Xenopus tropicalis: one gene and its partner. The protein of the gene in region 1 purifies or fractionates together with the protein of each later gene. This does not show direct contact. Links are inferred from orthologs where the notes say so. Each region holds a gene or a part of one and is shown in the gene's direction. Other genes may lie near its edges.

Region 1 (3,832 bases):
AATCCCTGCCGAGCCGTCGGAAACGCGCGTAGCTGTAAGTACTTCAGCCGCTGACGCGGTTATATAACATAGTCACCCAGCCATTGCCGTCGGGGAGCGCAGCCGATTCCCATGGAAATGAATGGGGAGAGGGGTCTCTGAGCATTTTGTTACCCCAGAGTCTGATAAACAACACCCCCCCCCCCCTTTTTTTTTTTTATAGGATAAGCAGTCGTGGCAATGTGAGAAAGAGATCTTCAACACGGTGGGCATGAAACACGAGAACCTCTTGGAGTTCATTGCCGCGGAGAAGAGGGGGAGCAACCTGGAGATGGAGCTGTGGCTCATCACTGCGTTCCATGATAAGGCAGGTTTTCTACTGGAGCCTGGCATTTTAACCTCAGAGTGAATTATCCCTCTAATGTAGCTGCTTTCTCTTCTCTTTCTGTGTAATGCAGGGTTCTCTGACAGACTACCTGAAAGGGAACTTAGTCACCTGGAATGAACTGTGTCACATAACAGAGACGATGGCTCGTGGGCTGGCCTACTTGCACGAAGATGTGCCCCGGTGTAAAGGGGAAGGGCACAAACCTGCAATCGCTCACAGGTAAGTCTGACTCTGACAGCCAGATATCCAACTCATGTATTATAAGGGATAATGTACCCCCTACTGTAAATGATAAGGATATTAGCAGTCACTGAGGGGTTCTGTGCCCATATAAAGGCACAAGGCTGCAGGCTGAGTTATACAGGGAACTCTGAGTATCACTCATGTATTATAAGGGATACTGTACCCCCTACTGTAAATGATAAGGATATTAGCAGTCACTGAGGGGTTCTGTGCCCATATAAAGGTACAAGGCTGCAGGCTGAGTTATACAGGGAACTCTGAGTATCACTCATGTATTATAAGGGATAATATACCCCCTACTGTAAATGATAAGGATATTAGCAGTCACTGAGGGGTTCTGTGCCCATATAAAGGCACAAGGCTGCAGGCTGAGTTATACAGGGAACTCTGAGTATCACTCATGTATTATAAGGGATAATGTACCCCCTACTGTAAATGATAAGGATATTAGCAGTCACTGAGGGGTTCTGTGCCCATATAAAAGCACAAGGCTGCAGGCTGAGTTATACAGGGAACTCTGAGTATCACTCATGTATTATAAGGGATAATATACCCCCTACTGTAAATGATAAGGATATTAGCAGTCACTGAGGGGTTCTGTGCCCATATAAAGGCACAAGGCTGCAGGCTGAGTTATACAGGGAACTCTGAGTATCACTCATGTATTATAAGGGATAATGTACCCCCTACTGTAAATGATAAGGATATTAGCAGTCACTGAGGGGTTCTGTGCCCATATAAAGGCACAAGGCTGCAGGCTGAGTTATACAGGGAACTCTGAGTATCACTCATGTATTATAAGGGATAATATACCCCCTACTGTAAATGATAAGGATATTAGCAGTCACTGAGGGGTTCTTTGCCCATATAAAGGAGGGCAGAAATGGTGAATGCTTATTTATGGTTATTAACAATTAGCCTGTTATGCATGACATTTATCTGTTTTAGTTACATTCCTACACATGCCATCTGTTAGGGCCCCTCTACAGGGATTGGCTGGACAGTTCACTGCAGGGATTGGCTGGTATTTAATATTCCAGGTTCCCTATTATCCTCCAGAACAAAATATAGTCGCTGCTTCCCGTAATGGCCGCCAAGTGCGACAGGAGTTAGACTCGAGCCGGGAAAGTGATTTTCTGAGGGCTCTCCAATCAGCAGTCGCGTGACATTAGGCCCTTCATCCATCGCTCAGCCGTGCATGTAGCCCTTACAATCATCAGCCCAAATATATCTGATTCCCCTGAAATCACTTTTTTCTTCTAATAATATATATGCTTTAAAGGACCACTATTAACTCAGAATTTCCCTGCAGAATGTTGATTACTGCTAAAGAATAAGTTTGCTGGCGTAAGTAGGAATAGTATCTGTCTGAACAAAGTATGAGAAAACCTACGGAATTGTACTTTCTATAGACAGCGCTATATTGCAGCCATGTTTGGCTAACCACACCCCCGTGACATTGTGTCATGCCGTGTTAGCTGCTAGACCACACCCCTTTAGCTTCTCTAATTTAACAGGGATGGGGACACCTTCATGAATGTAAGGGAGAGAGAAAGTGACAGTAACTGTCCATTGAGCTCTTATTTCCTTGAGACAGATCCATAAAATGAAGGTTTAGTGTTGCCTTTAGCTATTGCCCGTCTGTGTAAGCAGACATTGCCCTTACGCAACTTACAGCTACTGTTCCTGCCTATTTGTATATGAGTGGGGGCTGCCATGATTGCTCTGAAGAAGGAAAATTGCCCATAGACTCTATCAAAGCAGCGCCCTCTGTTGGTCAAACTTTATAGAAAAATAAAATGGTGGAATAATTATTCCACCATTTTATTTTTTGATAAAGTTTGACCAACAAAGCTTAGTACAGGGGAATCCCTATGTGCCGTAGTTTTATGGTATCTCTCTGTACAGGCTATGAGCAAACTTAGGGGGCTGTTCCTGCTGAATTGTGCTTAGTACAGGGGAATCCCTATGTGCCATAGTTTTATGGTATCTCTCTGTACAGGCTATGAGCAAACTTAGGGGGCTGTTCCTGCTGAATTGTGCTTAGTACAGGGGAATCCCTATGTGCCGTAGTTTTATGGTATCTCTCTGTACAGGCTATGAGCAAACTTAGGGGGCTGTTCCTGCTGAATTGTGCTTAGTACTGGGGAATCCCTATGTGCCATAGTTTTATGGTATCTCTCTGTACAGGCTATGAGCAAACTTAGGGGGCTGTTCCTGCTGAATTGTGCTTAGTACAGGGGAATCCCTATGCTGCCATAGTTTTATGGTATCTCTCTGTACAGGCTATGAGCAAACTTAGGGGGCTGTTCCTGCTGAATTGTGCTTAGTACAGGGGAATCCCTATGTGCCATAGTTTTATGGTATCTCTCTGTACAGGCTATGAGCAAACTTAGGGGGCTGTTCCTGCTGAATTGTGCTTAGTACAGGGGAATCCCTATGTTGGCATAGTTTTATGGTATCTCTCTGTACAGGCTATGAGCAAACTTAGGGGGCTGTTCCTGCTGAATTGTGCTTAGTACAGGGGAATCCCTATGCTGCCATAGTTTTATGGTATCTCTCTGTACAGGCTATGAGCAAACTTAGGGGGCTGTTCCTGCTGAATTGTGCTTAGTACAGGGGAATCCCTATGTGCCATAGTTTTATGGTATCTCTCTGTACAGGCTATGAGCAAACTTAGGGGGCTGTTCCTGCTGAATTGTGCTTAGTACAGGGGAATCCCTATGTTGGCATAGTTTTATGGTATCTCTCTGTACAGGCTATGAGCAAACTTAGGGGGCTGTTCCTGCTGAATTGTGCTTAGTACAGGGGAATCCCTATGCTGCCGTAGTTTTATGGTATCTCTCTGTACAGGCTATGAGCAAACTTAGGGGGCTGTTCCTGCTGAATTGTGCTTAGTATAGGGGATCTCCCTTTACAGGATATGAGCCCATTTAAAGGAATATCTGTACAGGCTTAACTGACTGTTAAGCCCAATTGCCTACTGGTTCTGTTGGTGGAATTATAAACACAACAGGATCCCTGTGAGAGATGACAATGAGTATATATCCTGACGGCATTAACTGAAGGCATTTTGGCTGATTCTTTGGAGAAACAAAGCAAATGGAACATACAGTAAATATAGGTTTAGATTTGATTATTTCTATTAGGCAAACCCATATGGGGAAAATTTCAAAGCAAAGGTTTACTGGCCCTTTAAAAAAAAAAAAAAGGAGTAGATAT
Region 2 (3,832 bases), about 44 Mb from region 1:
AGTCACCGCGAATCCATGCCTGCCGAAAGATTTCGCTCACCACTAATTATGATGTATTTTACAGGCAATTAGATCATCGATTAACTGCCAAACATAATTAAAACATAGAACGGATCATTTACAATTTTTAGGTGCAGCATATGAAGCTAAAATAGGTTTAGAATAGCCCTACTGGTTTAGCTTTTATTGTGCATTAGGGGAAAAGTGCAGCTCAGGTATCATGTAGGCCTGTTCCTAACACCCATTATGTATCAGGGGGTAACTACAGTGAATTACTGTATCTGGTACAAAATGTTGCTTTGGTTTGTGGGAGCCACAGTGATTCTAGAAATGTTACATTGTGGTTAAGAACATGATTTTTTTTGTGCTTTGCCCATTACAATACATGTATCCTCAAATATTTGGTTGAAAAGTGATACAATGACAAATAACTTATATATGCCCTTTATTCTTCATTAAAATGTGTTTGGTTGGAGAAGAAATATAATAACACATATGAAGAACTGCAGGGTGGAATGTGTGAACAATGAATTAGATCTTACATAAGGACTTGATCATACAACATACCCCTATATCTGATTACACATGTAACTATAATTTATATCCTGTAGATCTGGTTGGTGTACACATAGACCACAAATGTAGATGACCAATGTGTTCTTGCCATCAACTCCTGTTGACTAAATAACCCCAACATACACCAATGAGTTAGTGGCCCCATACATAAAGTGACTGAACAGTTCCTTAAAAAATGAATACATTGGGCAGCTATCACCCTCTGTGGTTAGCTTTAGCATTAACAGCGTATAGCTTAACATTCTGCCTACATTTCTAAAGCTATAAGTCAATATATAAAAAGGATAAGGATAGACAGACCAATGCACTTGAATTGGTGTATACCTGACAAAACAATCCATTTATATCTAAGCTAACAGCACACAAAGCAGCTAAACAACATGTTTACTGAGCTGCTTTACTTTCTCTATACCAAGTGCCAAATTTTTAAATGCTATATAAAGATTCATATATGCAATCTAATAAAGAGATATATGCAGCGAACTGGATTTCCCCTGGCATCAACAGTGATCATATGTTCTATTCAGCATACATCTTTTTGCACTTGTAGCACATTATGACAATAAAATAAATCTTTATGACAACCTAGTGCAATGCAAAAGATTTGCCAACTTGTACATAACTACCATATCTTGTAGAGCTCTGTGCCAATTAGTGTATCCAAGTATCCATGACAATAAACCAACACATTTTGCATTTAGATGTTGCAACATAATTTATGGCCAAACCATGTAGTAGTGCTGTGCTGTAAACAGCATCTGTTCATGTGTTATACAAAATACAGTCTACATATCTACAACATACAACTAAACAATAAAGATAAAAATAAGATTACCATATTATGAAATTACAGTCTCCAAAAAAGCTTTCCGTGTGTTCCTATCAAATAAATGGGTACATATATATATTTTATAAACATATATATATATATATATATATATATATATATATATATATTAGTACTTGCTACAGTATATCTAGAGGTGTCAGTTTCCAAAATTTCCTTTGTATTCATGTTTTCCTCTTATACAGAACAATATGATGATCTTGGAATCTTATTATGAAATCCTTTTGTAATGCCATTTATACACACTGCAGAGCATCCTTCTGTTTACAGTGCAAATGAAACCCGTTCCCACTCATTTAGTTAACAGCAAAAGAAAGGTTCAACGATAGTTATATAAGCATCAAAGAATTCTACCAATGCTCTTCAGTCAAATCTTTTAATATATTTCATGATTGGATGGTGGGGTAAAGCACGGACCCAAGTTGTAAAACCTTTAAGCACATAGCAGAGTGATTTCTGCTCCATATTTGGATAAAAACATTGTGTATAGTTCCACAAAGACAACTATCACTGAATACAATTATAGGGGTCATTTACTTTGAAAAGAAAGGCAGCAGGCAAAGAATAGAGGAATAGAGGCAATGCACTTGTTTTTGCACTTTCACACTGCCATCCTCGCATATAGAATTGCTGCTGGTCTCTGCACTTCATTTCGGAACACTGTGTTGATTCTTTGTCTTAATTATAGTTATAGTTGTCTAACTAAGGAAAAGAAATAAACATACATCTTTCCATTCTTGAATTGCAGAGACATTTTCATTTAACAGTTATATAAAATAGTCTTCAATAAATTAAGAATATTGCTTGTAATGCAAACAGCCTTCTACAGACAAAAGGACAGGCTCTAGTTATTACCAAGGAAAACAAGAAAATATATGTATATTTATGTAAAATGATTCCGGGTTGATAGAGTAAGTTGCATGTCTTCAAAAAGTAATTTCTAAATGTAAAGCAAAACTCTTAAGCTCCTTGGCTAACATTTTTTTTTTGTTTACCTTCTCTGTCAACATTCAGGACCATCCAAGAAAATACTGCGCTTTGAAATTTCCAAAGAAGGTAGTAACTTTTTAATTATTGGAGAAGCGGACCTTTGGCTCTTCCTAAAATTGTCCAAGGCGAATCGAAGTCGCGCCAAACTGACTATACGGTTGTACCACCTGCAAAGAGGTCAGAAAGACCAACGTGGATCTGAGAACAACAAAAGTGAACTGCTTATTGCAGAAAAAGTAGTGGATACAAGGAAAAGTGGATGGCATACATTTCCAATAGCTGGCAGCATCCAGCGTTTACTTAATCATGGCAAATCAACCATAGATATCAGAGTAGCATGTGATCAATGCCAGGAGGCAGGGGCTACACCTGTCTTGCTTGGAAAACGTAAGAAAAAGGATGATGAAGACAAAGAAGCAGGAGCATCTGGTGTTGAGGAAGAAAAGGAGCAATCTCATAGGCCTTTCCTAATGATTGTTGCCCGGCAGACAGATGAGCATCCGCACAGAAGAAAAAAACGTGGCTTAGAGTGTGATGGCAAAGTTAGCATTTGTTGCAAGAAGCATTTCTATGTCAGCTTCAAAGATATTGGTTGGAATGATTGGATCATAGCACCTCCTGGCTACCATGCCAATTATTGTGAGGGAGACTGCCCTAGCCATTTTGCTGGAACTACTGGCTCTTCCTTGTCTTTTCACTCCACAGTTATAAACCAGTACAGACTGAGGGGCCAGAGCCCCTTCACCAGCATCAAATCCTGCTGTGTGCCCTCTAAGCTTAGAGCTATGTCCATGTTGTACTATGATGACGGTCAGAATATAATTAAAAAGGATATTCAGAATATGATTGTGGAGGAATGTGGCTGCTCGTAAAGTAAAGAAAATAGAGCACTGTCATTGTCAGCATTGCAATCAAAATACACTAATCAAGAGAAGTGCAAACGGACAAAGATCAAAAGTCAGAGTTATCTGGGTTTGGGGGGTGAACTTGATTCATAGTTACCAGCCTGCAGCAATTTTTATCCAAACGTGGACACCACTTTTTTAAGCGCAACTGTGGATTTTATTTTAAATAAAAGCACAAGAACAAATATATAGCTATTTATACAATGTTTGTGTATCTCTTGGGTACTTCAGTTAGTATACAGGCAGGTATACAAATGTGTATAAATAGGTACACTGTATAGATATCCAGAGAGTCATGTTTGATGCCATGTTGTCAGTCAGCAGTTCATAGTTTCAGAAGAGTAAATACATTGCGCAGGTGATCTCACCTTCTTCCTCTGCACTATCCTTGCAAAAGTAGACAAAAATGCAGAAAAAAAATTACAAAGTTAAATTTCACTACGGTGCTGATGATCTTAGAACTATGCAACTTTTTGGGTTTGAAAACCGTTTACCTGAGAATTAAAAGAGAGAC

What was found.
Region 2: the proteins of acvr2b (region 1) and inhba purify together in Homo sapiens (affinity purification with western blotting; 3 studies listed by BioGRID and IntAct, with this or other methods). This does not show direct contact. The link is inferred for Xenopus tropicalis from reciprocal best matches to the Homo sapiens genes ACVR2B and INHBA.

Annotation. Positions count from the first base shown.
Region 1 is NC_030682.2:13,801,188-13,805,019, reverse strand, and holds part of acvr2b (activin receptor type-2B precursor), read left to right. Parts: intron 1-202; coding exon 203-346; intron 347-437; coding exon 438-586; intron 587-3,832. UniProt on the Homo sapiens protein: Transmembrane serine/threonine kinase activin type-2 receptor forming an activin receptor complex with activin type-1 serine/threonine kinase receptors (ACVR1, ACVR1B or ACVR1c).
Region 2 is NC_030682.2:57,864,684-57,868,515, forward strand, and holds part of inhba (inhibin beta A chain), read left to right. Parts: intron 1-2,437; coding exon 2,438-3,285; 3' UTR 3,286-3,832. UniProt on the Homo sapiens protein: Inhibins/activins are involved in regulating a number of diverse functions such as hypothalamic and pituitary hormone secretion, gonadal hormone secretion, germ cell development and maturation, erythroid differentiation, insulin secretion, nerve cell survival, embryonic axial development or bone growth, depending on their subunit composition.